Lytechinus pictus: one gene and its partners. The protein of the gene in region 3 interacts with the protein of the main gene of each other region in a pairwise test. Links are inferred from orthologs where the notes say so. Each region holds a gene or a part of one and is shown on either strand. Other genes may lie near its edges.

Region 1 (11,094 bases), about 62 Mb from region 3:
TACTATTGACGGAGCTCATTGCGTTACTCTCTTACATCGTTTATGATGATTTACATTTTATTTTCAACCTCGTGGTGATAGCGGAAGCCGCCGTGAACTTTGAAAGGTCGTATTACCGACAGAGCTCACTGCGCTACTCTCTTACATCGTTTATAATGATATAAATCTTCTCTTCAACCTCGTGGTGATAGCGGACCCCGCCAGAAACTTTTAAAGACTGTACTATTGACGGAGCTTATTGCGTTACTCTCTTACATCATTTATGATGATATTCATTTTATTTTCAACCTCGTGGTGATAGCGGAAGCCGCCGTGAACTTTGAAAGGTCGTATTACCGACGGAGCTCACTGCGCTACTCTCTTACATCGTTTATAATGATATAAATCTTCTCTTCAACCTCGTGGTGATAGCGGACCCCGCCAGAAACTTTTAAAGACTGTACTATTGACGGAGCTTATTGCGTTACTCTCTTACATCGTTTATGATGATTTACATTTTATTTTCAACCTCGTGGTGATAGCGGATGCCGCCGTGAACTTTGAAAGGTCGTATTACCGATGGAGCTCACTGCGCTACTCTCTTACCTCCCTTATAATGATATAAATCTTCTCTTCAACCTCGTGGTGATAGCGGACCCCGCCGTGAACTTCAAATTGATTTGAAAACGCTAGCTACCCAAAACATTTTAATAACATATTTCAAATCATCGTGCGTGCTTGCGTCGTCTACTTCATTTTAATTGCACTTGCGACTTTAAGATGATGCGTCGTAAGAGATCATTCCAATAATTCTAAATCGCTAGCACCTAAAAATACTTCTGAAAGATGTCCCGCCGATCGTTCATTAACCTGTGATCTATGAGAAATATTTTCATTTTATTTTCCTTTGCGCCTTTGCTCGGAAGATGCGTCTTTCGTTTATCTTTCTAATAAAAATCACTCGGTTTATTTTAAAGCAATAACACCTCAAAACCCCTGGCTTTAAAACATGTTCCAAACGATCGCGCATGTTGGCGACTTCCATTCCAATGCATTCGTCTTTGTGACTTTGTCAGGAAGATGCGCGCGACCGCGAACAACATTTTGATGTATTCCTTTGTTTTTAAACATCGCCGATTCGATTTTCGATTCGATTTCGATTTTAGAAGCTTAACTGCCGATCCGATTTTCGATCTGATTTTTGATCCGATTTACAACATTAAGACCAAAAGCTTCGTACTCTGTTTTATTGGTTGTTTCGCTGAACTCTGTTGGCTCCACTCACCAATTACAGAGACCGAAGTTGTAACTCGATCTGTACAGGGACTCAATGGCCATATATTTATGTATTAAGCTCGGATAAACCAGGGAAGTGAAGTTGCGCGACAGCTGAAGTAAGTCACTGATTTTTGTCCTGTTAAGTTTATTTTTTCCCGTTTTGGTGCATTTCAGGTCAAAACGGAATAATCTTTATTTTGGTCCAGTTCTCATATATTTTAATGAAATAAAGACAAAAATACATGTAGGTGAGCCTCGTCGGGGGGATTTTGCATTTTTAACCCCCTAATGGCGGCTGCACGATCGCGAGCCATCTGTGTACGAGGAAAAATTTAAAAAAATGTTAAAAAACTCCTCGAACATATCGAAGGACGAAGCAGACGGCTGCCAGCTGTATAATCTAATTATGCCAGGGCTAGCCAGGAGGCTTCTAGAGAGTAAAAATCATTTACTAACGTATGCTTACCCTCCACGAAGCCAGGAATTCCTTGCTATTCATCTGCACGTACCGACCAAAAACCTGAAACTTTCGCCCCCGAGCTTTCTACTTTCCTTCTAAAAAAAGATCTAGCCCTAAATCATGTAAATGGGATATAACTTAATTTCCGACATTTCTACGTGTCCGTAACATTGGGGAAGAACAATATTCAATAAGAAACAAGATGGCGGCGTAAACATTGGGCAAGTCTCTTCCGTCTTTTCATATTTTTCTCATTTTTTTGATGAATTCTTGTTTAAAATGAAATCGATAGCGTAGAAATGTCAAAAATGAAGTTATATCCCATTTACATGATTTAGGGCTAGATCTTTTAGAAGAAAAGTAGAAATGACTAGGGGGCAAAAGTTTCAGGTTTTTGGGCGGTACGTGCAGATGAATAGGAAGGAATTCCTGGCTTTGTGGAGAGTAAGCATTTAGTACTCTCGAACTCGAAGACTCTAACATTAGAAGCCTCCTGGACCTGGCTAGCCAGGCCCTAGACAGCTGGCAGCCGTCTGTTTTGAAGAGTTTTTCAACATTTTTTTTTTTTTAAATTTCTCCTCGTACACAGACGGCTCGCTGTCGTGCAGCCACCATTAGGGGGTGAACAATGCAAAATCCCCCCGACGGGGCACATCGATTTTTGTCTTTATTTCATAAAAATATTGAAAAAGAATTGAACCAAAATAGAGATTATTATTTTGTTTCGGCCTGAAATGCACCAAATCGGGGAAAAAATAAACTTAATAAAAGGGGAAAAACAGTCTTCAGCTGTCGCGCAACTTCACTTCCCCGTTTTATCCGAGCTTGAATACATAAACATGTGGCCATTGAGTCCCCTGTACAGATCGCGCTAGAACTTCGGTCTCTGTATTTGGTGAGTGGAGCCAACGTAGTTCAGTGGAACAACCAACATAACAGAGACCGACATGACCGAAGCTTTTGGTCTAGCCTAATCCAGGGAGCTCCCACCCGCGCAGCGGGCGGGAGCCCAGGGGCTTACCGTGTATTTTACCATACTCACGGGACTAGGGTAATTTATGGTCTAAATATTTTTCCAAATGAATTGTGAAAACAGAAATTATGCACTTACCACGATTATATGGATGAAGGTCTAACGAGTGGCAGTTTCCTGACATCTGGGCACAGACTGGAACCTCAAAAAACGAAAAGTTCTCTCCTTCTACCCCCGTCTCGATCTGCCATTTTTGTTATGAATTGTAACATTGTCCCTGGGTTAGGTCTAGCCAGGCCCAGCCTACCTCAGGCGATGTTCGTGCAGGCTCCACTCCACTTCACGTGACGTATTATTCACGGCCGATTTCAAAACATCGCATGCGATCGCGATCGATCAGCGACCCGATCGCATGCGATGTTTTGAAATCGGCCGTGAATAATACGTGTGAGGAAAAAGATACTAGCCCAAAATCACAAATTTTTAGGATAACCGGAGGATGGACACGGAGTGAAATACGGGTGTAAAGTAAGATATTAAGTCATTCATATCCCTCTTAATATTTTTTTTCTTTAATTTTTACGATAACCATGATTGCCATCCCACCTTTTATGACTCGGAATATCCGATCTAGTTCACTGTCCCGATGTTCGGGTAGGTGGAGCGTAGTGTAGCGGTAGTGAAGTGGAGTGGAGCCTGCACGAACATCGCCTGAGGTAGGCCCAGCCCACTCTAGGCGACACCCCAATACTTACCCGTGCTAATAAACTGGGACTCCACTCACGCGCATTTGGGCCGCCCTAGCTTAGAACTAAGCAATATTATCTAGAAATTGTTACATTTTAGTCATTAAATATGTTCTATTAAATAAATTGATAATGTTTAATCGGTACTCACCGGTTCTTTTGTTGCATTTTCAGACCATTTCTCACAATTCTTCGTAAATATTTGCGGCAAATTTTGTCGCCATAGACAGCTTAGCATCCATCTTTATTGATAAATGGAGCGCCCTTTACGATAGTTGTTAATGCCGCGGAGAAATCGTTAGGCATTTTGGCCTGTGTTCAAGGCGTTCTTTCTGTTTTATTTTTTATATTGAAGATTGTGCATTTGTTGAATAGCGCCGTCTACGTCAGGTATGAGATCGAGTGTATAAATAAACTCTTCCAAAATAATTATGATTCCGACCTGGCGCTGTTTAACTTCAATCTCTTTCACCTAAATTAGCGATGAATGCTAGCATTATAAAATATATATTATTAACGTCTGACAAAAAGAATAACCAACCGATCAGCTGACGAGAACGCGAATCACGTGATCTTCATATCAGCTTCGATCGCAAGTCAGAAGAGAAGAGCAGCTGCCCAGAAAATCAGGAAAAAGCCGTGAAAATGTAAGTTCCCCTTCATTTCTTTCATTTTTTGTTGTTGCTAACGATGCATTTACACTATAAAATTATAATTTAAATAAGAGAAAGGAATATACTATAGCTTGTACTTGTGATATAATATATAAATATCCTGTTCTCAGAGATTTCTAACCAAAAATACTACTGATGTCGCCTATGAGGTCCATACATGTAATGTTGGACCTCATTCATTGGTACTAGGAGTGGCCTAGACAGCTGGCAGCCGTCTGTTTCGAGGAGTTTTTTAACATTTTTTTATTTTTTTAATTTCTCCTCATACACAGACGGCTCGCTATCGTGCAGCCACCATTAGGGGACTTACAATGCAAAATCCCCCCATCGGGGCTCTTCAATATTTGTCTTTAATGAATCAAACTTTTGAAAATTAACGCGACCGAAATGCAAATTAATATTCCCTCTTGGCATTAATTGCCAAAAAACGGGGAAAATCAAGTTAAAAGGAACAAAAACAGTGACTTACCTCGGCTGTCGCGCAACTTCACTGCCCTGTTTTATCCGAACTTAATACACATAAACATATGGCCATTGAGTCCCCTGTACAGATCGCGCTAGAACTTCGGTCTCTGTATTTGGTGAGTGAAGCCAACGGAGTTCAGCTGAACAACCAACATAACAGAGACCGAAGCTTTTGGTCTAGGAGTGTCCCAGCCCAGGTTCTCGACGTTTTGTTCACAAACCTGACAGGCTGTGGCCTCACTGTCTTTCCTCCACGCGGAACTCGTCTTGCACCTTCGGCGTACGACATTTTGTTGACTGTATTCGAGCCCGAGCCCAGCCCCAGGACCAGCTGCTATCCCTGACCCTCGACTTGTCCGACTCCTATTCGGCCTTCGGTTTGTTGTTGTTTGGGCTCAGCTCAGCTGTTTTCCGCTGTGCAGTGCAAGATCACGAACAACTCAACGCGCCGTGAATCAGGCAGGGATCGGCTCGACCGACTGTTGAAATTCGACGTGCAGACGCCTTGTTTGCAGCCACTTGAGACTTGAAAACTGGGTATAGCATTCTTTGCAACCTCTCTCATCTAACCATACTTCTCATTTTTCTATTTCCGAACAAGAAAACCAGCTCAGTGAAGAAAAATTAGGATCTTGTAGGCAGAGAAGGAATGACGTTATGAGCTCCTTGTTGTCGTCTGTATGTAAATTAGATCATTATGCAAAAGTTCAACAGTAGAGGGCGAGTTATTATCGGATGATCTAGTGTCCCTGTATATACAGGGACACTAGGATGATCTATTTATTTGGTCTAAAAAGTTCGTGCAATTATTCACTTGGTCTATTCCAATTCGTTTTATGACCCGTTAGGCTAAAGCCAAGCCCCTCTCGGTCTCGCACAATATGTTTGCAACGTGAAAACCCTTCGCCACGATGTTTTGTGACTTTTTTCCCTCCAGTCTCCCACATCTTGGCTACATAAGGTATTCAATGATCTGCATTTTTTTTTCAAGAGTATACTTTACTGTACTTTACTTTACTCTACTTTACTTTACTTTACTTTACTTAACTCCAACGATGATGTTGTTATATTTTCTAGGGACACCACAGAGGGTTTCTACACCAAACATAATTCACATTATCGGAGCTCTCTGTAGGGAGTTAAAACAGCGAAAAGATATGTCTCACAAGGCGCACAAATTAGCATAAAAAGTTTAATTGAAAAAAATCATTATTATACAATTTCTAGACAAGGTCGGGGACAACATGCTTGCCCATCTACGACACGGTCGACGCCAGAGATCTCAAGGGGCCATTATGATGTCCCAAACAAAATAGTCTAGTCCAGTTTTTAGTTAATGACATTTTGCAGAAATTTGTTAATATACAGTGCGTACAACAAAAAAATTATCAATAATCCTGTAAAATAATATATTTTTGTAATATCCTTAAGTTTTTTTCTGATAATATTTAACCATTGGTAAAGATCTCTTTAAGCAAATGACAATATAGCTGTCGAAAAATCTTTTCGAAGTTGAGTGAGCAAAACTTACTTTTGAAAATTTTGTGAAAAATTATTTGCGGAGAACTTGGAAATAGTTATATGAATAAAAGTAGACGTTAATCATGAAGAACACATGCATGGCCTAAGCTAGGAAGATTGATTTCAAAATATCTTTGACCTTTTTATTCTGTTTCCTTTTTAAGCTTGATTTTCCTTCTGTTAATTATTGTCATATGATAAAAACAGTAAAAAAATGCTGTAGATGTCTGAAATAAACTTTTGTTTATTATTATATGTCCTCAGATCCAGCTGGAACAAAAAAAAAAGGTAAATGCTGTGCTTACCTAGGGTTAAAATGCTATTTTGGGTGGCAGTGTTGTTACGAAAATGTTTAATGTATCTGTTTTATTTCAACTGGCTAAAAATGCAAAAGAAATATATAAGAAATGTTCCGCACCGGTCAGTTTGTTTTCGCCCTTTTTTTTGACAAAGCGTGAAAATGAGAATTGTGAACATGGGACATATTCTCCGTAGGATAGTATAGAAATAATGCCAGCGCGAAGCGCGTCCTGAATGTTTTGGATATACTGACCTAAAAGGGATATTTGCAGAAACAAATGAACACGACATAAATTGTATCTCTCTTAACAAAATAATGCAAGAGCGAGGCGTTGATATTTTGTTGTCTCTGAAAGCAATAAGCACTTTTATCGGAAGCATTCAAGGGGATTTCACCCTGACGAAAAGGGTGTAGAAACTATTGGTGAAGGTTTGAGAAAAATCCTTTGAAGATTAGGAGAGTTATTACAATTTCAAGTTTTTGATTTGTGACGTCATAAATGAGCATAATATGATAAACTGCCAATTGCATAAATTTCATTTTATAATAGTTCGTGATGACTAATTTTTCATTTTCTTATTTAGGAGCAGGTGTGAATTGTTTTGTGTATTGAATTACTAAAGGTACAGTAAAAACTATTTTCAATTTTCTGAGAAAATTTCATTGATTTTTTTATCATACGATACGATATGTAAAAAAGCTGCTCGCATATGACGTAAAAATCAAAATCAATTTTTTTATAATCCTATTAACGTTTTGCCATGCAGGGTGAACTTCCCAAATAACATATGAATACAAGATATTTTGTTAAAGCAGAGGTGTAGGGTGGCTTTTATTTCAAATTTCTTAACATATAGTTTTATTTATGCGAGGGAGCGTAGCGACTTTAAACAGTGAAAATTATAACTTTAAACATATAGGGACAAAATTTAGTGATAGCTGGAGGGACGCGTAGCTATAGGCCTTTTCCAGTGAGGATGGGGTGTGAGGGCCCCTGAGTACCGATCATCATTAGGCCTTGTTAGTTCTTTTGCAGGTCTATGTAAATTTATAACATATATATATTTATTTATTTAGGAGTTTACAATGTGGTATCAGATCAATCAGAGAGCGCATCCTCAGACAGATGTTGATGTCTGAGGATGCGCTCTCTGATTGATCTGATACCACATTGTAAACTCTTGAAGAATTAAGACGGAGGCCCATCGAAAATTCGAGTGAATAATAAAAACTTTATTGGCAATAAAAGCATTATCATCAGCATTATATAGGCCTAATGATGATCGGTACTCAAGGGCCTCCACGCCCCCATCCTCACTGGACTCGCCATCACCAAGTTTAAAGATAGAATTTTCACTGTTCATAGTCGCTACGCTCCCTCGATTACAACGCTCGCATAATCATTAAAAAACCCTGTTCATACCTTCCTATGACCAGGACAGGGCCGTAGCCAAGGGCGGGGGGGGGGAACCTGGGTTCCACGGAACCCCGCCGCTTGCCAACACTCATGGGCTGAAATCCCAGGGGGTGGGCATGCAGGGGGACGCGTCCCCCTATCAAAAATAGTAGGGGGACACAATATCAAACGTCCTATAAAATACTATTTTTTGTCTTTTATGATGGAGAAAAATACATAATTCACAATCGAGTGAATTTTGAGTGAAAAACTTTTTTTTTGCTTGTCAAAGTTTCGAGCTCCTGGTCCCCCTCTGCCTTTGGGGACAGATTTCTGCCAATGCCAACACCAAAAAAGAGCTTTTAAGTCAAATATGCACACATTCTGCAGGCGATTCGAGTATCATAATTTTGTTTCAGTGAGATATGCAATTACGCAATTATACATCCTGTTCATTATTACAAAAGTGCTGAATATAAAAAAATGGTCAGCTCTCGATGCGCTCCGTTATTTGATTAGCAAGATATGTATCACATTCCTGAATTAAAATGTCCACTTTTCACATCAGTATAAGCCTATCAATAATTTTCAGCGCTTTGCATTCGCATTATTGTTTAGTCAAATACTCATTCGTAATTACAAAAGGTGCTTAGAATAACCCGTTGTTAGATCTAAATCCCTCACCGAAATTCAGCTAACGCTTCGCGCTTTCATCATTTATAGTAACTAAAAATATCCTCTTCACAATGGTACTAGATATTAAACAGTGCTTAACTTTATTAACTCGATCTTCACGCTAGCATTAATTTGTTCATTGGGATACGAAGCTCGTTCTTTATGTAAAAGCGTGCTTATAATGTCAAAATTTTAGATTGGAATATCATAAATTTTCAGCTCGCGCTTCACGCTCGAACTATTTCTTTTATAGCAAGAAACCCATCCTTTTCATGATTACAAAAAATGAATCGAACGTCCTTTTTTTTTTAACTTAAACCTAAAAAAGCCCACGTTTCACATTGTTTATTGGATACATATCTTGTTCTTTATTAAAAACGTCCGTTAAGTGTCAAGTTTTTTTCAGAACGAAATATCAAGAATTTCAGCTCGCGCTTTGCGCTCGCGCATACCCATCCTGATCATTAGTACAAAAAAGTGCTTAGAATTTGAAGCTAATTCGCGCTTGCATTATTTGGTTGGTGAAGATATGTATCCTCCGCATGATCACTGCAAACAGTCCTAGACAGGTCCCTTCTCATGTTTTCGGGTCAGTATATTGCAGATTTCAGCTCGCGCTTCTCGCTCGCATCAATTGTTTCTTCAGATAACATCCTGATTATTGGTATACAAAAAAATGCTTAGACTGTGAAGTTTTCACATCAGAATATCAAACATATTCATCATTTTCGCATGATTTTGGTTGGTGAGATATGTACATTCTCCACGAGTCCCTGCAAACAGTCCTTATGGGTCCCTCTTCCTGTTTTCAGGTCGAGTATACTATATAAAAATCTCAGCTCACGCTTCGCGCCCGCGTTACTTTGATATACCCATCTTGATCACCATTACCAAAATTGCTTTGAACTTTTTTTTCTTCAAAATACATATACCGTAATATTAAAAATGAGCTTGTCCTTGCATTATTTATCCAAGCGACCGATCGGGGAAAATGCAGATGATTTTTTTCTGCCATCCCCCCCCCCCCCCTTCCCCTATTCGCGAAAGCTGGATTCGTCCCGCCGGGAAAAAACGGAACTGATCATAAAATAAACAGTTCACTCCTTATATAAGAGTCGGAACCCCCTCATAGAAAATCCTGGCTACGGCCCCGCGGGAAATTTTTGGCTCTTCCCCTCCCCCCGGCCACTGACCCCTGCAATACGCCCCTGAAAAAAATGGCCTTGCCCCCTTGAACTCTTATAATACACAATCTTCCCATTTTATCCTACTCTGTCACGTTTTCTGTTTAGCTATGACGCGACTATATATGACTCACGCTCTGTACGCATACGTTGAACACGCCAAAAGCTAGCCTCTCTTCTGTCATTTCAATAGAGAATAACCTGGTTTTGTCATCCAATTAAGTGTATTTTATGCGTAATTTAGTTAATTTGATGTATTGAATAATTCATTTGGATGATCAAATATCCATCTTTTTGAAGGAAAGAAAATGTTACAAAGTTGATTTCAAATGAACAAAGTTATTTGTCTCAGGTACTTATCTCTTCTTTCTTCTTTAAGTCTGGAATAAGTCTACAATAATAAATAATCATTCGGGGAGAGAAAGCTAAGCAAGGAAACTACGCAAAATGTCGGGTAAAAATCCATTTTTTGATGAAGAATCAGCAGGAGGTGGAGGAGCTGGAAGTTCATGGAATGACTGGGAGGATATTGGAAAAGATTCGTCGGACTACGACCCGAATAATGATTATGGATTCGATTTACAGAGCAAGCAAATGGAAATTGAGAGGCGGAAAGAGAACATGTTATCGAGCACACACAGGTCTATGGGATTGATGTACGAAGCTGAGCAGGTCGGCAATGAAACTGCGGCGGTATGTATTGTGCGATGCGATGCGCCGTGCTGCTTGGTGAAAAGTGAAAACAATTGGTTTTATAAAATAGCTGTATTATTTCAAGCATCGCGATTGGTCAATACGCGTCACATGACATCCAACTTTTTTGTGCACTGCACGGTAGTGCAAAAGGTGTGCAACGAAAATTGACATTGCACTCTCGAGCAAACCAGTGCGGTAAAGTCCAACAAAACTGTACTGTAACTTTTTTTAAAATTGTTTCTGTGTTGCTATTTTATAAAACAAATAATGCACTTGCTCTGTCGTGCGTAAAAGTAAATGCAGAGAAAGCTCGGTTTCTTCAGATGGAGCACACTGGGCACTCGCCGCAAGCGGCTCGTGCACAGCACGACTCCTATCTAAAGAAACCTCGCGTGCTCTGCATTTCCACTAACGCACTCGGCTGCATGCATTATTTGTATATTATTGACATCGGAGTCCTGCATCAAATCAGTCGGGCAGCTGGCCCGGGGGGGCCACTTCCATTCACGAGTGGATACCATGCGCGACCATGGGGTCTCGAAAAGCACCCTAAACACGTAATTTCCATATTCTGAAAATGCACCCCTTAACAAGTATTGGCGTCTAAAACCCTACCCTTAACAAGTATTGGAAATAAAACGATACTCTTGGCAAATATTTCCTGAAATGAACCCCTAAACAAGTACAGGAATGTTTTATTGCGTACCTACGGGGGGGGGGGGGGGGGGGGCAGGGGGGGCAGAGAC
Region 2 (10,371 bases), on a different chromosome or scaffold from region 3:
AAGAACCGGTGAGTACCGATTAAACATTATCAATTTATTTAATAGAACATACTTAATGACTACAATGTAACAATTTCTAGATAATATTGCTTAGTTCTAAGCTAGGGAGGCCCAAACGCGCGTGAGCGGAGTCCCACTTTATTAGCACGGGTAAGTATTGCGGTGTCGCCTAGAGTGGTAAATCATAAATGGGGATTACAGTAAAATGTCAGAAATTGTTGAATAAATCCCCAGAAACGACGGTTATTCCTGTCTATACTGTACGTAGGCTTACTCTCCATGAAGCCTGAGACGAGATGCCATAGGCCCACACATACCGAGTATTTTAGAGACAACAATGTTGTCTAGTCAGTGCAGCCAGAGCTAAGCGACCTTCGCCGCATCGCAGGCTCGCTCGCGATCGTCCCGCCGCAGGTAGCCTAGTACCATACCGGTATCCTCCCCACCACACACTATTTAAATGCCCGCCAAGCGCAAGGCGCAAGCAAGAACTTAGAAGCCGAGCCTCGGCTCGAGCCGAGAATAAAAAAGTTTACTTACCTTTCCGTCGCTTTTCCGACGTACTTTTCTGCATTTCCCGTAAGAGCCACTCCCGATCGTATAAAGAATATCATAATCGCTCAATTTTGAAGGCATCTTGGCGTTTGAATGCCACGATTGTAAAAAAATGTGTGGTCGATGGTCGTCCGTGGTTAAGGTTGTCGATCATGAAATATCATGCACGCACAATATTTTGAATTCACGCCAGCTGATTGACATTGTTTTTGATTGGGTAAGCTTGCGAAGTGAGCAGCCTATTATTGGTAGCAAATAATGCGTGGCCAATTTGATAAGTGGAGCACAATTTGGGAAGAGAACTTTGTACCAGAAAAAAATATATATTGGTGAAGGTTTGATGGAAATCCATAAAAAAATTAAGAAAGTCATAAGAATTTTAAGTTTTAGATTTTTACGTCATATACGAGCAGCTGCCCCGTATTTTTTTAATTTCAATCTTTTAATGGTTCATGATGATTAAACTTTTTTTTTTCTTTTAGGAGCGGCCTTGTGAAATAATTATTGTCTATATTGATATACTAAAGGTGACCAAAAAAAATGAAAGTGACAAGCCATTGTTTTTTTACAAAAAATATGGGGAAGCTTATGCATGTAAATAAAAGTTTGTTTGCTTGTTTGCTTGCATTTATTTCTGCGTTCAAAAACACAATACAAAAATATTTACAATTACAATATACAAAATAATTCACAATATAAACAATGTAGTCATATTACATGATAAATACAAATAAGAGTGTGAGTATAAATTAATCTTTTATAAATGTAAACATATATATATAATGTAATAAATGAACGCAGGAGACCACCATCGTGAGCGGTTAGGCTTGAATTGATGGCGGCCTCATAAAAAGATTCGTGACTTAGATTGATATTTACTGGTCAAGTGGGTGCATTGCAGGTGCAGGTGCTGTATAGCAGTTGAGTAAAATCAGAATGTTAAATAGCGAATGTGGATATTTGAGTGAATGTTTTAATTTGGAGCGAGGGGTTGATAAGATTGAATGATAGTTTTCTTTAGAGTGGCTTTTAATGAGTATATGGTAGAACAAGTTTTAATATTGTTTGGAAGATCATTCCAAATGTCTGGACCATGATGTCGAATTGATTTAGAGGCAATTAACAGTCTGGGGTTAGAGAGATGAAAGTTTCCGGATATGCGCGTTGGGTAAGTATGGACAGAACTATTAAATTTAAACATGTTATCAAAAGACGAAGGGAGCAGATTGTTAATATATTTAAACATAATTATAGCTATTTGAATAGTATATAAGTCGGCAATTTTTAATGTCTTTTGTTTAAAAAATAAAGGATCGGTGTGAGCCAAATAATGCGATCCTGTACAAATGCGAATTGCTCTTTTTTGTAATTTAGAAATAGAAGTAAGTTTTGTGGAACCACAATTAGCCCAAACAACGTTACAATATGTTATATACGGGAGTATTAACGAATTATACAATAGAAGTAAAGTTTTATGAGGTAAAATAAATTTCAACTTGGAAATTATTCCAATATTTCTCGAGATACATATAATGATATGGTGCAGATGTTCATTCCAAGACAAAGCTTGATCTATGATGACGCCTAAAAATCTAGAGTGAGTCTTCCGCTCTAATGGTGTACCGTCAATCTGTAAGTGAATTGGAGTATCGGTAATATGAGAATGTTTAAAATGGATGAAGTGGGTCTTTTTTTAGTTCAAGGATAGTTCGTTTGCTTTAAACCACTGTGAAACTTTAATCAATTCAAGATTTAATATGTTATTTAGGGAAGTTATATTTTTATGAGAAAAAAAGATATTTGTGTCGTCAGCAAATAATACAAATGATAAAATAGAAGATGTGTTGATAATATCATTGACATATAATAAAAATAAAAGCGGGCCTAGAATGGAGCCTTGAGGGACACCACATTGAACTGAAAGTGAACTAGAATCGTTGCCATTAAATGTGACATATTGTTTTCGATTTATTAAATAATCTTTAAACCAAAGGAGTGATTGACCTCGTATACCATAATAATTAAGTTTTGAAAGTAAAATATTATGATTAAGTGTATCGAACGCCTTACTGAGGTCACAAAATATACCAATGACATGCTCTTTGTTAGCTATGGCGTTTGTTATTTTATCGTAAATTTGAATTAAAGCCAAGTTTGTTGAATAATTTTTTCTGAAGCCATATTGATTAGAAATTAATAAATTGTGTTTGTTGATAAATTCATAAAGTCTATTATATACTATTTTCTCGAGGATTTTGGATATACTAGGGAGTAGAGATATAGGGCGATAATTGCTTATTTCATGAGGATTGTCTTTTTTAAAAATTGGATTGACTTTGGCGATTTTGAATAAGTCAGGAAATATACCTTGTGATAGAGATTTATTAAAAACATGACTAAGAGGGTTTGCAAGCGGGTGAATTATTTCTTTTAAAAGAGACATACTAATTTTATCATGCCCATGAGATTTTGAGCTATTAAGAGACCTTGTAATGTTGAGAATTTCTGTGGGGTTCGTAGGGTTCAAGAAAAATGAATGTGGATTAGGTTCGGGGAGATAATCCGTGAAATGCGCATTTTGGCTATTGATCTTGCTTGCAAGTTCGGGTCCGATATTTGTGAAAAATGAATTGAATGAGTTTGCGTGAAGGGAAGAGTCAACTTTGGTACCATTTAAAGTGATATTATCGGTAGGTGGGGGATCTGCATTTGTTCCCATTACTTCTTTGATGATTTTCCAGGTAGTATAAGTATTTGAACTGGCATCTTTTATTCTATTAGTATAATACATTTTACGTGATAAACGAATTAATTTTGTTAACTTGTTGCGATATACTTTGTATTTTTTTAAATTGGCTTCAGTAGGATTGCGTAAATGTGACTTGTAAAGGCAATTACGTGTCTGTATCGATTTTAATAAACCTTTTGTTATCCAGGGTTGTTTGGGTGTTTTTCGATTATTTTTTACCTTTCCTATGGGAATATTCTTTTCATAATAATGTTGTAATTTATTATTTAGGAGATTATACGATGTGTTTGCGTCAGTTTCATTATAGACATCCTCCCACCCCTCAAGTAATAAGTCTTGCTTCATTAATTCAATATTACGTTTAGATTCTTTTCGATATGAGCGTTGGTTAAATGATAAATAACTTGTAATCTTTGATGGATTTCCTAAAACCTTCAACAATTTTTTTAAATGCTATTTTTATAATAAATTTCCCCGAACTTCCCCTTTAAGTAGTGAATTAGTATACTACTATGCGAGTGTGATCTTTCAGAACATACATGAGCTAGATGATCAGTTCAATTTCAACGACGAGAGTGGGGGGGGGGGGGAGAAGCTCGAAGCGGAGTTGAAAAGTAAGTGGAAAATGGACCATCGTCATAACCATCTTATCGTCATCAGTCATTATCATCTTCATCTTTTTCATCATCGTCACCCGTCATGATATCACCATCTACATCATCATCATCATCGTCATCGTCACATCATCATCACCATCATGCCTCATCCCCCTCGTCATTAAAGTACAATTACTTTAAAGGTTAAGTCCACCTCAGAAAAATGTTGATTTGAATCAATAGAGAAAAATCAGACAAGCATGATGCTGAAATTTTCATCAAAATCAGATGTAAAATAAGAAAGTTATGACATTTTAAATTTTCGCTTATTTTCACAAAATAGTTACATGCACAGATTTAGTCATATGTAAATGAAAGACTCGACAATGTCCCTCACTCACTATTTCTTTTGTCTTTTATTGTTTGAATTGTACAATATTGCTAAATTTACAGATTTGAGTCATTTGACAATAAAGACCAACTTTACTGAACCATGAAATGTAAAAAAATGGCAATTCCACGTGTTCGATCAGGGCGAAAGAAAACTTTGTTTCACAGGACAATGAGGACAAAAAATAGATCTACAATGTTTCATATTTCATATAATAAAATACAAAAGAAAATGAGTGAGCGAGTGATGTCATCAGTTCCCTCATTTGCATACCAACCGGGATGTGCATATAAATATTTTGTGAAATTTATGGGCGAAACTTAAAAATGTCATAAGGCTTTTTTTATTTTACATCTGATTTTGATGTAATTTTCAGTGTTGTGCTTGTTGGATTTTTCTCTTTTTATTCAAATCCACATTTTGTTGTGGTGGACTTGTCCTTTAACGTTGAACTAAATATCAATAAAATTTAGTCACAGAGTGATACAACTTGCCCAGAGACAGTGTGCATGCACTGATATTCCTCTTTTAACTTTCAGTTTTACTTGCACCATCCCGGCCTCCTTCCCTCCTTCCTCTGCCTCCCTTTACCTCACTTTTATAATTTTATTATTTACTATTAAGTTTGAATATTATTTTCTCTTAATTTTGTAGTCGCGTATCGCTTATTTGCTAAGGGCTAATCCAGTATTTTCCAAGGGGAGGGGGCACATTTTTCAAAGGAATTAAAATTTGACAAGCAAAAAAAAAATAAAACAACAACAAAAAAAGGTTGTCACTAAAATTTGAAAGTCATTATTTCCTGCTTACACTTTGACAAGCAAACAAAAGAAGCCCTGATCACTTGTGTATGAACGACATATTTCCATGAAAAATATTTGCTGTGACCGCAAGGGGGTGGGGCACACTTGTACATGAACGACACATTGAAAATATTGACTATATGACTCTCAAGGGGGGGGGGGGCACGTCGGCACGGAAACGCCCCCCATGGATCTGTCACTGCACTGATGTTCTATAGTGTTTGTTTATAAGCTCGTCCAGTCCGCCCCCTAATGAATGTATACGTATGAAACTATTCTTGTATTTTGTTGAACGGAAAATAAATAAATCTAATCATCATCATCACATCATCATCATATCATCATCATCATCATCATCATATCATCCTCATCATCATATCATCATCATCATCATATCATCCTCATCATCATATCATCATCATCATCATCATCATCACCATCATCATCATCGTCGTCACCATCACCCATCATTATCATAATAGCTTCGGGGCGGCGGGAAGCTAGGGGCAGGGGCGGATCCAGGATTTTCCAAAATGGGGAGACAAATTTTTTTTTGGGAAATTTTTTTTTTGACAAGCCCGCGCCCCCCCCCCCCAAAAAAAAGGTTTTCAACTACAAATTAAGGATATTTCGTACCCGATCAATTTGACAAGCAAAAAAAAATAAAAAATAAAAAATTCAAAAGAGGGGGCACACCATAGCACTTTTACATGACAAATTTTTAATTTTGCTTCTCAAAGGGGGGGGGGGGGGGGGCACGTGCCCCCCCCCCCCCTGGATCCGCGCCTGGCTAGGGGCACCGGGGCAAGCTAAATACGAACCGTAGCTAGCTAATGATTTTTCAAGTAGGCCCTATACGTCTGTTGAACACAGAGTAGGGAGAAAAAGCAAAGAGTATAAAAAAACAGTAAGCGAATTAAATGAGAGTACCCGGTATATCAAAAGCATGGAAAAGAGCGGTCGCGGTCTGTGTCGTATAAATTCGAATTGATATAAAAATGTAAATCATTACAGAGGTATAGATCTTTTCAACAGCAACGCAAAGCATAATCGCGTCGTTGACTTTACGGATGGCAACTCGCCTACAAATAAAAATATTACCCACGGAACTCGCACAGCAGCACCGGCACCACGGCTGGGGTTTCTCAAGCTACCTTTCCAATTCCGCGCCGGGGAGCTGCCGGCGTGCGGCGCTGATGAAGTGCGGTGGCGCAGCGTCTTGTAGCGAGCTGCTAGTCCGTAATAACTAACTTCACGTCTAGCTACATGAGAGAGCTCGAGAGATGAGCTGCTAGATTTAATTTAGATCTAGGCTAGATCTACTAGGAATAGGGATCTGTCAACTCTATCACTAGGACGAATAGGAGTCGAGTCTTAAGCCAGACGAGGCCGAGCTGAGGATGGATTCTATCTTCCATGAAAAGGTACCGAATTAGTTTTTGTTAGAAAGATAAGATAAGATTTTAATTTTTTATTAAACTCTATCGACCCTAACCCAGAGAGCTCCAGCCCGCGTAGCGGGCTGGAGCCCAGACGCTCAGTGTGCAAACGGGCATTCAGGTGAGAGTACCGTGAAGTTTGGTCAAAATAATTTTGATAATACATAATTAAAACAGAAATTAAGCACTTACCACGATTGTATGGATGATAGTCTAACGAGTGGCAGTTTCCTGACATCGAGGCACAGACTGGAACCTCAAAAAACGATCAGTTCTGTCGCGGTGGCTCTCCTTCTTTCAAAATTCATAGCAAAATGGCCGTTCGAGAGGGTGTAGGGCGCATGCGCGAATTTGACAAAGTCTATATGCGCTAGTGCTATACTAGCCCTCGATCGGCCATTTTGTGTTGAATTCTGAAAGAGGAGAGCTACCGCGACAGAACTGATCGTTTTTTGAGGTTCCAGTCTGTGCCTCGATGTCAGGAAACTGCCACTCGTTAGACTATCATCCATACAATCGTGGTAAGTGCTTAATTTCTGTTTTAATTATGTATTATCAAAATTATTTTGACCAAACTTCACGGTACTCTCACCTGAATGCCCGTTTGCACACTGAGCGTCTGGGCTCCAGCCCGCTACGCGGGCTGGAGCTCTCTGGGTTATATCGACCCTAGCCTAGGGCCTAGTAGTATAAAACTAGTAGTAAAGTATAAACCCAGCGCCAGCCCAGGGAGCTCCGGCCCGCGACCGTGCAAAACGAGGGAGACAATCGGTTAGATTGGGGACTCAATAGTAATCTTAATAAAATATGGAAGCAGAAATTATGCATTTACCACGATTATATGGATGAAGGTCAGGTCTATCGAGACACACAAATCCTGACATTGAGGCACAGACTGGAACCTAAAAAAAAAACAAAATATATAATAGCCTCGGTCTCGATTAGCCTGCCCTGGCCCTGGAGGCTTCTTGGGAGTAAAAGTCTTTCTACTCAACGTAGACTTACTTATTTAGCCTGGAGGCTCCTGGAGAGTAAAAATCAGTCTACTATACGAAGGCTTACTCCCCATGGAGCCTGGAATTGCTTCCCATATGGCTACACTCCTACAGTACAAATACCGTCCCAAAACCTGAAAGTGAAACTTTCGCCCCCGAGATTTCTACTATCCCTCTAAAAGATCTAGGCCTAGCCCTAAATCATGTACATGGGGTACAACTTCATTTTCGACATTTCTACGATATTGATTTCATTTTTAAACAAGAATTCATTAAAAAAACGAGAAAAATGTTATGAAAAGACGGGAAGAGCTTACGGCGGTGTTTACGTCGCCATCTTGATTTCTTTGTCTTTCGCTTTGAAGTGAAGTTTGGGCACCCAATCATACAAAGACTCCTCGGAAAGACACCTCAAAGTCAATAAAGTCTCTAGCCTAGGCCTACGTTAGACTCCAGGGGCCCGTTTCTCAACAAATGGACAAGTTAGTCATATCTTTATCCACCAACCACGGAGTTAGTTCCAATCTTACTAAACCTGTTTCTCGAAAGGCTTCCTAACTAGAATACCTTGATATCGATACTATCGGTAAAAAGAGCAGACGAGACGTAGCCTTAGTCACAAAATAGCATAATTTTCAAAAAGAAAAATTATGACATAATTGCAAATATTATGATGAATTGGGAAATAAGTCTTTTCAAAATAGTAGCACAGGTGAATTTAGACCAAAAGCTTCAGTCTCTGTATTTTGGTTGTTCCGCTGAACTACGTTGGCTCCACTCACCATACATAGACTGAAGGGGATGGGGCCCCGTACCTACAGCCAACGTATAGTGAACTAGCGTTTTATAGATCGCGATTTAAAACTGTTTTTTAAGCAAAATTGAAAGTTTCATGGTTTCCATTATCAGGGAAATATAAATAATTTAAGTAATTGCATACCTTGGGCCGGAGTTATTGAAAAAAATCCTCTGGATGATTGAGAAATCTGTCATCTAAGACATTTTCACCTGACCTGACGGTTTTTCTTGCAAGTTGCCATCTTGAATGACGTAATTATCGTTATTAACTTAATGTCTCGAATCGATATATCGCGATTATAACTAGTACTAGTACTAGTATAACTAGTATCGTTTATCTTCGGTTTCGTTCGCATATGGAGCAGATCGTATAATATCGAAAGCAATATCGATATCACATTCGTGATTGTTGACGTTCGTTTGTAAATATTTTATAGTTTGGCTGCCATTTTGACCATTTTTATCGTGTTCAACCCAATTAAACATCGGTAAAGTATATTTTTCATGCCTTTTTCATCTATATCGTTTAAAGTATTCAAACATTTAAATATTAAGTTTTAAAAGTTTGTTGTTTATACATCCTTAGATTGTAAATTCGATGTGTAAAATTACATCAAACTTTGGACTGTGAATTGACAAAAGGGAGGGAATGAGAACACATGCGAGCCCACACGTACACCCTACCGTCGGTAAATGGGGATTACAGTAAAATGTCAGAAATTGTTGAATAAATCCCCAGAAACGACGGTTATTCCTGTCTAAGGTGAATTATGCATCATACATACTTAAACCATGAAGACTGGAGCATTCAATTGCAGAGAAAATTAAATTATGAATAATTCATTTCATGACTAAAAAATCACTTGTGGACGTTGAGATGGGTACCCCCGAAAGACCCAATTTTAATAGTTTACGAAAGTAAACCATAACGGTTTTCTTTGCAAAATGATGATAATTATACGGACTTTTACGATTCCAAACGTCATCAAAATATATTTTAACGAAACATTTTTAATCATTGATACCGAAAGATACGATATTAGACAAATTATATGCAGAAATTAGTGATAGAATTCATCCAACTGTTAATAGGGGTCTGAAAACAACAAATACGAGTTCAGTTATGGATGGCCTGACGTGGTAGAATCTTTATCGATTAAATCATTTTACTATTTCAAAATGAATGGTTTTGTGGCGTTTACCAACAGTTTTTATAGTTTCTTTGTATTACAATTATCATTGAATGCATCAACCCACTTGTTTTGTGATGTAATTTCAACCTATATGATTGATTACGTAAGATTATAATTTATAAATTTCTAGGCACTTTCGCATGTCATAGTCTACCCACGTGATGCCACTACGTCATTAAGAAAGAAGTTACGACAGGTTCGGAGGTGTCATAAATATTTAGTGAGGTTGTTGTACCCGATCTTGGTAAAGAGGGCTTCGTGAAACGGTTAGCGGACAAGTAGCTCACTATCTCCGATTTAGTCAAGAAGTTAGACTTATGACGGTGTTGAGAAACGGGCCCCAGGCGTATGTCCAGCGTAAGGTGACCAGATCAGGGCAGTCAAATTACGGGACACTTTGAAGTAAATATGTCGACAAGGGCCCGTTTCTAAACATATCTAAAACATTCTAGCCTATTCTAACCATTTTTGTCTCGCCTGCATAGCAGAGCGAGACTATAGGCGCCGCTTTTCCGACGGCGGCGGCGGCGGCGTCAACATCAAATCTTAACCTAAGGTTAAGTTTTTGAAATGACATCATAACTTAGAAAGTATATGGACCTAGTTCATGAAACTTGGACATAAGGTTGATCAAGTATTACTGAACATCCTGCCTGAGTTTCAGGTCACATGACCAAGGTCAAAGGTCATTTAGGGTCAATGAACTTAGACCATGTTGGGAAAATTATTTTCAAAATCTTAACCGAAGGTTAAGTTTTTGAAATGACATCATAACTTAGAAATTATATGGACCTAGTTCATAAAACTTGAGCATAAGGTTAATCAAGTATTAGTGAACATCCTGGTCGAGTT
Region 3 (10,412 bases):
TGTTATGTATTGAAACGGTATATGACGACATATGTTTTTCTTTTAGACTGTCAGAGTCAAATTATCACTAATAATGAAAATGTATATCAAATGACTGTCTTTATTCTCTCTCATTCATGATTGGGATAATAATGCTCCAAACTTTAATGCAATTATGGCTGAATTTACATTTTATTTAATTCCGTTCATTTCGTTTTATTTCCATATCCAACAAAATGGTGTATATACGTAATGCAATGTAAACACTAGAGCCCAATAAATAATCGTATAATGTTCACTAGTCACGATACGTCCGTCACAGAATGGATACCAAATTTTATGATCATTGACTACTTTGGTCTTTCCGTTAATGCACACAATCATTATTTGATACTGCAGCGATGGGTGTACATGCATAGGAAGATCCAGGGGGGCCAAACTGCCCACTCCCTCTTTTTGGCGGTGTAAAAAAAAAAGAAGAGGAAGAAAGGGGGAAAATAAAACGAAGAATAATGGAACGAGAGGAGTGACAAAAGAAAATAAAAGCATAAGAAAGAATCAGTGCTTAAAAGGTTCCTTTTCGGGTCATAAAAAAACCCACTCGCGCTTCGGGCTAGCATTGTTAAAGGGATGGTCCGGGCTGAAAATATTTTTATCTTAATACATAGAGTAGAATTCACTGAGCAAAATGCCGAAAATTTCATCAAAATCGGATAACAAAATTAATAATAAAGTTATTGAAGTTTAAAATTTAACAATATATAGTGGAAACAGTCGTCATGAATATTCATTAGGTGGGCTGATGATGTCACATCCCCACTTTCCGTTTTCTTATGTTATTACATAAAATCATAATTTTTTCATTATTTCATACTTGTGTGAATAATATGTTTCCCTTATAATGAAATAAGTTGCAGCAATAAATATCTAATGCACTAAATCAGTTGTCAATCCAATTTTTCTAGTTCTTGGTGGAAAAGCTTGAATAAACCTAATTTCATATAATAAAATACAAAAGAACAAGTGGAGATGTGACATCATCAGCCCACCTAATGAATATTTAGTCATGACGACTGTTTGCACAAAATATTACTAAAGTTTTAAATTCAATAACTTTGTTATTTGTTATCCGATTTTGATGAAATTTTTTATTTTGCTTAGTGAATTCTACTCTATTTATTAAGCTGTAAATACTTTCTGCCCGGACCATCCCTTTAATTATGATACACAGCTTTTTCTTTATTAATAAATCTGCTGAACATGTCTAAAAAAATCAACTCGCGCTTCGCGCTCGCTCGTATTATTTGATTGTTGGAATATGTACATGTTTAGTTGAGTATTTTTGTGGCATTAATGGAGGAAAAACACAAAAATTCAACGTTTATAGTTTCCACCCTTGGTGTATTGTTCCATACGTCGACATCTATTCTGACTCTTGCTCTGACACACCGGATATTTGTCACATATATATATATTTAGATATATATATATATATATATATATATATATATATATATATATATGTATATATATATATATATATATATATATTCGGGTTTAGGTCAATATTTGTCCTGAGACCCAAACGTTAATTCAGGGTATGTAACCCGATATGACACAGAAAGGGTCAAATGATTATGAACTGGAAATGGTCACATCATTGACCTTACTTCTTTTCAGTTTTTTGAAACGGGGTGGATAAAGATCTGAAAATAAATCATGAGTATTAAAGCATAATGGTTAGTCGATCGCGTGCATTTGAGAGTCCGAAAGTCCACTCACCGCGCTTCAAAACAGGGGAAATATGTCGGGTATCTTTATAATTATTGATAACCTCATACCTGATTGGTTGGATTATGAAAATTTAATTCATTTCCATTAATTTGATGTAAATGTTATTTAGATTCAGTATTCACGTTTCGCTATTCATTTGAAAGAACACAAAAAGGCCCAATTTTTAACCACTTACAGGGCAACATGCTGTCCACGAACCATTGGTTAAAATATGTCCAAATTGGGTCATAAAAACAAGTAATTGGGTAATGAATTTGCTCAATTGGATAATAATTGCCCAGAATATAATGTTTTTACCAACATACACAACCCAACACAGTGGACAGTATATGTTGCCCAACATTTTAAATGCTCACAACTTTTGCTATGGCAATCGGTCCGTATTTTCGAGACACTGGCACCTTAATTTGTTTTCCCACTGAAATATCAAGAAGGTATCAAGAGGGTCAAGAAGGTCGAGATAGTTTGCTGAATAGATTACCTACATGTTGATATATAATACTATGTGACTAGTAATGGTCACATTTCATTATTCTCTTGAACTCTGAGATCGCAAGCAGCAGAAACTGGCATATTTCATTAATTGTAAAAATAGCAGAATAAATAATAAAACAATCTTGCCTAAGGTTTTAGAAAAATCCATCAAGGAATAAAAGAGTTATTAGGATTTCAATTATTTGATCGTGACGTCATATGCGAGCAGCTTCCCTACATATCGAATGGTAAAACCAAAACTTACTGCGGGTGATCCTTTGCCATTCAGTTCTACCCTGGTCTACGTCTTCAGCATCCAGTAGGGGGAAGTCCCACATCACTTCTGACTTGGTCCCTCTATCTGGAAGGAGGACGTCCTAGTAAAAAAAAATCGTTTAAAAAATTCAATGAAATGAATATTTTTCAGAAAATTGAAAATGGTTTTCAGATTTATTTCAACACCCGTTTCTAAAAAGAAAACAAAAATAAGTCATCACAATCCACTAAAATTGAAATTTATGCATTTCATATAACAAAACATATGGGTAGCTGCATGCTCGTTTATGACGTCACAAATCCAAAACTTTAAATTCTAATAACTTTCTTAATCTTTAATGGATTTTCCTCAAACCATCCCCTATATCTTTTTTTGCTATTTTTACGACAAACTTTTCTTCAGGGTGAACTTCCCCTTTAATACAGTCCAAACAAAATCAGTTGACAGTAACAATGTTCTTGTGCTATAAAGCTTTGCGTACTGAAAATTATAATATAGCTCCAGTTTGAGAAAGCCAATATTTATAGTAGTATCCAGTCCGGAATTGATTTTGATTTGAACTTGGGTCTGCGTACGTATAGTAACTAGCAGTCTAGCATCGTCTATACGTAAACTAAATGAGCGAATATGACTTAATCCAGAATTTGACTGGTCTCAAACCTAATGCTAAATGTCGGATAAATATCCGACAAACCCTTTCATAAAACATTCCCCTGATTTAATATCTATACAAGTTTTATAAAGTGTACACACCTCAGAATTGTGGAAAAGACATTGTACAACAAACTCACCCCCCCCCCAATTTTTTTCTTTTCAAATCATGGAGCGTTCGGCAAAATTTCTTAGAAGTTCCGAGAGAGTGAAGGGAGCGAGCAAAAACTTTGGCCTTTGAAAAATGAGAATCTAACTTTGTGATAGATTTTGACGTGATTTTCAGAATATGACATTTTATATTTTCCTCATTTATCCTCTTCTTTTCTTTTATAATTCCCCTCCAATTCTTTTTTCCCTTTGTCATGTTTGTCGTGGAACTTTTTTTGTGGGGGGGGGGGGGCATGGCCCCAAGCGCCTCCCTTTCATCTGTACGCCAGTGAATTTAAACACTACTATAATAAGTCATTCAAATCTCCATTAATTAGGGAAACAAATGCACGACTCACCTGATAATAAGATTATCTTGAGCAGCAAGATCCTTTTAAAATAAGTTTTAATTGATTGGCCTATATACGATGAGGTGGCGCTATATACTCATCTTCGGGAGCTTACGTGTACGTAGAATGGTATCTCTGTCATGTCTGTGCATCTATTGAACTGCGTCCATTATAATTTTGACACGAAATAGGCACTTTAATTTGATACGCCCCTAACAAACATGCATGCAGGGTGGCCGATAAAGCATTGCGATGAATGGAGTTTCCGGGGAACCTCTTTTAGTTACCAGGGCTTTTTTTAGTATTTCGGGGGCTAAATCGCCCCAGCCCCCAGGCGCGGTTCTAGATTAAAAGGTTTTTTTTTTTTTTTTTTTTTTTTTTTTTGGGGGGGGGGGGGGGCTTCTGGGGGCTTGATAAATTTTCGACGTTGGTTTATTCCATACAATGAAAATAGCCTATTGTGGGTAGCCTTATACTGATCAAGTACCTAGTCCCCTCTCCCCCATAAGAAATATTTATAATATCATGCGAGGGAGCGTAGCGACCGAACGAAAAAAAAAATCTCATTTTCAAAATGCATGTGAATTTTTCATCTATATCATGCATCAGGGCCTGATTGGTGTTATAGATGTAGAAAATTTTTGACATTGTCTTTACCCCCTCTCGCCGGCATGGATCGACACTCCTGATTCTTAACTATAGTGTTTTAAATAAGTTTAGCCTCATTTTGGGTGATTTCAAGTTCAGTGTTGACCTTTTGGTGTTGGTGTTATGTCAATTTTACACGAGTATAACACCAAACATAAAATGAAGATGTCCTGAAAAGTCACTCACTAGAGAGCATTAATATATGCTGCATAATTATTTAGATGTTATTTTGCGAAGGAGCGTTATAGGGCCCACATATATATCTTTTTTTTTTCTTTGTGGTCGAAAACTTTCTGGGGGGCTTGAGCGAATGTTTTTTTTTTTTTTTTTTTTTTTTTTTTTGGGGGGGGGGCTTCAGTCCCAATACCCACCCCCTTAAAACCGCGCCTGCCAGCCCCCGTGTGTTTCCCTGGATTGATGTAATGTCGCCTTGCTCATAATTAGAGTGAGCTCATCAAGTGAGGAAAAGAAGGCACTCTCTTAATTGTACTGACACTGATAGAAGGGTAATTAATGTTTTTATGTTGATATATCTGTCTGCGTCCATATATTCTATAAATAGCACAGCGAAGAATAACAAGTAGGCCTACCTTCGTCCTATTCCTAAAATAAAACATGCATGGGTGAATCGTAAATTGAATTTATGAATATAGTATACAAAGAATAATCCCTCGGGTCTGCAAGACGACCCGTCTTTTTGTATTTTTGCAATAACAGGGCGCCCTAGCTGGGAACGAATTTTCGAACATGGGGTGCTGATGTATAAATTTGACAAGCAAAAAAAAAGAAAAAAAAAAGAAAAGATTTTACTACGAAATGACGGTCATTTTGTCCCGAGAATTTTGACAAGCAAAAAAAAAAGGGTTTCACTACAAAATGAAGGTAATTTTGGTCAAGAGATATTTGACAAGCACAAAAAAGGGCCGGTTTCACTACGAAAATGAAGATCAAGTTGGTCCCATAAAATTAAAAAAGGAGGGGGTAGTAGGTTCTTCCTTTTGTTAACATAATTCGGGTGCTGCTTATGGAGAATAACCTTGAGAATAACACACGCAACAAACCCCCCCCCCCCCCCCGAAAGTTGAGGTGTATATGCTTCAGTATATTCCCCAGCAACCCCGCTTTAATTATTCGGACTTTATCAGGAATCACCGGGAACCATATCTATCTATCTATCCACTTATTTTTTATATTACATTCTCTTCTCTTCAGTCTCCATATTTCTTAATTTTCGTCTGTTCTATTATTCTCATTCCCATTGTACTTGCCTCTTTTGTCCGTGCGCCGCAAGAAGATAATTTATGTCATTATGTACATGTAGTCTGAAAGACAGAACTCATATTGTTGTGAATTAGTGAGACTATATTCGCTCATAAAATGTGGCTAAATTCTACCAGATACACGTACACACAGAGAATCGGAGTATATTTTCAGCCTTATATCTTACATTTTTTGTTATTACTGTTTAAGTGTAGATTCTCAGTCTGTGCTTGCAGACTAGTCATAAACCTTTCTGTAAATGCGACTGGCGCATTAGGCTAGCAAGCTGTACTGGGGTTGTAAACACTGAAACGGAAATCCGCAACGAATTCTTAATCTTATGAATTTACCTTTGACAAGCAAAAACTACATGTGTTTGAGTCAATATTTCCTTATTAAAGTACGTTCGGCGGAGGTGAGTTAAATGGATGCCCACTGATTGAATTTTAGCGTATTTCTGTTCATTTGATCATGGTGTATTTTTGCAATGGCAATGACATGTTTTGATGGTTGAGGCTTGAGCGCAAAGTCAGCTCAGCGACAGCGTACCGCGGAGGTTATTTGTGTTTTGTCGTTCGACTTGCAATTGCATGTAAAATTCAGCTCCTTGGTAAAATGTAAACAACCGAGTGAGATCTACAGTAACTGTAATTCTTAGGGGTGTTTCACAAAGAGTTTAACTGTGCACTAGTTCAAGTCATGCTGGTTTGTGTCTCATGATCATCAAACTTAATAATATAAAATATAATACTAGTTAATACGATCTGGCCCAAATAAATTTTGTGACTCATTCAATACAACAACAATGATGAACAAGGACACCAAGGCAAGCCCAAGGCCAAGGTTGATACATCCTTGTTCTTAGACCGATAAGCTCCCCTGAGACTTCGTCTGGCGCCGCGGCATCCCCTCCGTCAATAAATAGATCGATGACGGCCATTGGGCTTGTAATGGTGGAGCAAATTCGCAAACAACCGCCGCTTAACAACATGAACAACATCGATCGTCTGTGGAGAAGGTTGTGCTTTTGCACCCTCCTCAATTAGAATTGTAGATCTATATAGTCTTTTAAATTTATCCTTAGATCTAGTATTATTTCTTCCTCTTTCCCCTTTCAAAAAACACGATTCAGGAGTAATTGAGGAGGTTGCGAAAGTGCACCCTTTCTCCATAGACGCTGTAGTTAAGGGACGGTTGTTTGCTCCACCATTACGAGCCCAATGGCCGTCATCTGTGTAGGAGGAGGACAAAAAAATTAGAAAATGTTGAAAAACTCCTCCGAACCAGCGGATTTATCAGTCTACTATGTTCTCTGTTAAGGCTTGGTCCCACTGCACTTATGGATGCAGAGAGGATGTAAAACAGAAAAGAATCTTTTCTGCAAAGTGTATACAATAGAAACGTTATATATATCCATTGTGTAGGGGAAGGCGGTGTAAGTTGTGACACTTTTTGCTATTTGCATGTTAGAATTGATATGACTAATTATATTGTCGAAATAAGTACCTTGCCTTTAAATTTGATTCTTGGGAAATATTTTTCACCTCCTATATAACTTTCTACCCCCCACACTGAAATTCATTGTGACCTTTGAAAAAAAACAATGTCAAATATGGCTCAACTTGCCCCATCTGTGGGGTAAGTTGAGCCACAAAAACTACGTCCAAAATGTATGCGGGAAGAACCAGCATGTAATCTTTTTATTTCAAGTCTTTTCACTTGCTAATTCTCTATAACATCCTCTAAAAGTAAAAGAACTGTCATGTGAATTTGCACCTTTCTGCCTGCATATCAATGGCTTTTCAAGGTTTTTTTTTTATTATTATACATTACAATAAGAATTACCATGGCTCAACTTGCCCCATGTTGGCTGGCTCAACTTGCCCCATGTTGGCTGGCTCAAAGTACCCCAGTCCGAAATTAATGCGATATTTTCACATCCACACATTTTTTATGCATCCATCATGTAAAAGACTATATGACAAGAATGAGATTCATACCTGGACTAACAATATTGTTCTTATTTCTTTATCATATTTAAAGACGTCTGTGGGTAAAAAGCACTGATCTATTTTACACCCTTTTTTACTTTTTTGGCTGAAATTTGTATTTTTCCCTCTAAAAAAGTACTTTTTGTTTCAAAGTCGAAAACGATGTGGTGGGGTAAAGGGTTATGTAATGTGTCATCAATACATGACACCACCACAATGTCTGACTCATTCATTATTGGCCTGAGGGTGGTGGCTCAACTTGCCCCTATGCTCAACTTGCCCCGCCTTCCCCTACTCTTTGCATACTTGTTTGATACGCATTATATCCATCAAGCATCCGTCCACTGTGATTTCATTGTTCGCCCAATCCCATTTTGTCCATTGTCTGGAGCGAATGAAAACGGATGGAGCCAGCCCGAAAGTTTGCTTGTCCGCTATATCCATCATGAATACATTTTGTGTCCGTTGGCCAGTGGGACCAGGCCTTTTTGCCTTTAAGTAAGTGTTACTACTTACTCCCTGTGTGGTGAAATAACGTTGACAATGTTTGGCTTATTTTCTCTTGTTCTAGGGGACAAATGCTTGATTTTTTGACACTGTCAGTTTCCATTATAGCTATTCGTCATATAACGTGACTCTTAAGTAAATTGAGTTTTTCTAATTATTTAAAAAAAATAGAGATTGAAAAATGGCAATTTTCTTTCAATTTTACTTTCCACCAATAGAGGGCTTACATAAAAATATGCCAAAAATTCAAGATTTTGAGTGCTCTGGTGAATACAAAAATAATCCCCAGGTTACTAATGAAAAATTAATTGCAACTGTATGGAAATTAGTGTTTTTGGTTACAAAACTGATATCTTAATGAACTTTGTAAGTGTAGGATGCTCTTTACTGCATTGGCATTCCATAGATCTACATGTATATGTAGATTCCCCACAGGCAGGGTGGTTGCAGTGCACATGTGCCTAGGATCTAATGTAGATCTAACAAGCAAATTAAAAAAAAACTAATTCACAACAATATGCAAAAAAATAACAGAAATTAGGGTCTAACGTTAGATCTACAACTTTTTTGGTTGTAGATCTAACATTCGAGTCTACACAGTGAAAGAAACTCCTTAAATGTGAAATGTTAGTTAGGTTCCTGACTGTCTGTCACTGCTGTTTAAGAGTGGACAGCATCCACGAGAATCGTCCAGATAAAGCTTAATTAAGGCACCCTAAGGCCTAGACCAAAAGCTTCAGTCTTTGTTCCGCTTAACTATGTTGGCTCAGTAACATGTCAGATATTGTTGAATAATTCCCCAGAAACGACGGTTATTCCTGTCTACATAAGGCCTAGGTCTAAACAAGGATTAAAGGGCAGGCGGCTAGGTACATGTAAACGGCTGAAATTCATCTGTTTGGAGGAGTTTTAAACATTTAAAAAAATACTTTTTATGCAGGAGGTATAGATCTAATGAAGCAAGCTGTAGTCCAGTGGAACAACCAGAGACTGAAGCCTTTGGTCTAGCCGCGAGGCAGACAGCTCAAATCTGTCTGCTTGGAGGGGTGTTTAAACATTTTTTACTGTATTACTTTCTCCTCCTATAACGGAAATACCAACGAAACAGAGACTGCAGGCCATTGGAATTAAGGAGGCTCTTCCTCAGTTTTGGTGTTTTTGACACTCAATTCGCATTAAGTGCCTACCAGCGAAAGCACCCCTTTTTGTGTTTTTTTCTTGTTGATGCTGTCCACTGTCCAATAGCAGTGACCCCCCCTGGCTCCGAGCTTTGTTATTGTATGCTGAGCATGCAGTTGCAAATATTCTTATTTTATTTTCATTTTCAGGGATTCATGTAGACCAGGAGATGAATAATCTCATCTTCATTACACTTAACATCAGCCCCGACGTCAATCTCTGAGTCTAAGCAGGTCGAGGGACAAGCAGAGAAAATAAGAGAGATCATATCAGACTAGTCATGTTAGATGTAGAGGTTGTACCTGGTCGTTCCCTTGGCAGTGAACAATGGGAGTTTGTCCTGGGTAAGTTTGTCGGTTTTTTATTTAATTTCTGAGTATTTAGTTCTTATTCTCACACTTATTGTATTCGCTGAGCAAAACTTGAGGGGAAAATTGCAACGTGAATTCATCCATAATTTTATATTACAAAATCCATCCTAATTAATGAAAAAAAATGTGTTTTCAGTTATTCAAACCTGAGGCTTAGATTTCTTGTCATGTCAGGGTCGAGAAAGAACACTGCAAAAAAAAAAAAGAATTGATTGAATATAGATTGTAATATGCCATGCAAAATGCCATCCTCAAACTTTCAAAAAGATATTTTTGTGAAATGAAATGAAATTGTTCTTAAACTGGATAATTTTATTTATGTGGCAAAAATAAATTAAGCTCAATGTGTTCCAATTACCTATCTTCTAATGCACCTAAGAAAATCAATGGAATGAATTTGCAACCTCTTTAAAATGTCAGGGGGAAATCCAAGAAAATTTGGAGGCTCTTATTAGATATGACTGTCACACTCATGACACTCCAGAATTTTGATATATTTAATTCCAATACACAAGTGTATTAAATATTTCTATATTTTTAGAACTTTACTATCATTTTATGATTGTCCCAACTTTCAGAGCAATTATCTATAAAAACCCTCCCAAAGTTCATGTGAAGTTTGTGTTGGGTGTTTAAACTAAATAACAATCACAAATTAATTGCAATTCTGCAATTGTTAGAAAGGTAAATTGCCGATTTGTCTACTGCCAACTCGTCCACTCACCACATGGTCTACTTTCATTTAGTCTAATGTCATTCCGTCCATCATATGTTCGTTTAA

Evidence for each region.
Region 1: the proteins of phagosome assembly factor 1-like (region 3) and BCAS3 microtubule associated cell migration factor-like interact in binary tests that used the Homo sapiens proteins (3 or more experiments, as listed by UniProt). The link is inferred for Lytechinus pictus from reciprocal best matches to the Homo sapiens genes PHAF1 and BCAS3.
Region 2: the proteins of phagosome assembly factor 1-like (region 3) and ataxin-3-like interact in binary tests that used the Homo sapiens proteins (3 or more experiments, as listed by UniProt). The link is inferred for Lytechinus pictus from reciprocal best matches to the Homo sapiens genes PHAF1 and ATXN3.

Annotation. Positions count from the first base shown.
Region 1 is NC_087246.1:3,616,050-3,627,143, forward strand, and holds the start of BCAS3 microtubule associated cell migration factor-like, read right to left. Parts: upstream 5,277-11,094; 5' UTR 4,865-5,276; coding exon 4,797-4,864; intron 1-4,796. UniProt on the Homo sapiens protein: Plays a role in angiogenesis. Participates in the regulation of cell polarity and directional endothelial cell migration by mediating both the activation and recruitment of CDC42 and the reorganization of the actin cytoskeleton at the cell leading edge.
Region 2 is NC_087251.1:48,006,162-48,016,532, forward strand, and holds the start of ataxin-3-like, read left to right. Parts: upstream 1-5,956; 5' UTR 5,957-6,494; coding exon 6,495-6,518; intron 6,519-10,371. Other genes in the region: serine/threonine-protein kinase Nek2-like, read right to left, coding at 541-636. UniProt on the Homo sapiens protein: Deubiquitinating enzyme involved in protein homeostasis maintenance, transcription, cytoskeleton regulation, myogenesis and degradation of misfolded chaperone substrates.
Region 3 is NC_087246.1:65,437,970-65,448,381, forward strand, and holds the start of phagosome assembly factor 1-like, read left to right. Parts: upstream 1-5,728; 5' UTR 5,729-5,998; intron 5,999-9,409; 5' UTR 9,410-9,540; coding exon 9,541-9,604; intron 9,605-10,412. UniProt on the Homo sapiens protein: Plays a regulatory role in autophagic activity. In complex with BCAS3, associates with the autophagosome formation site during both non-selective and selective autophagy.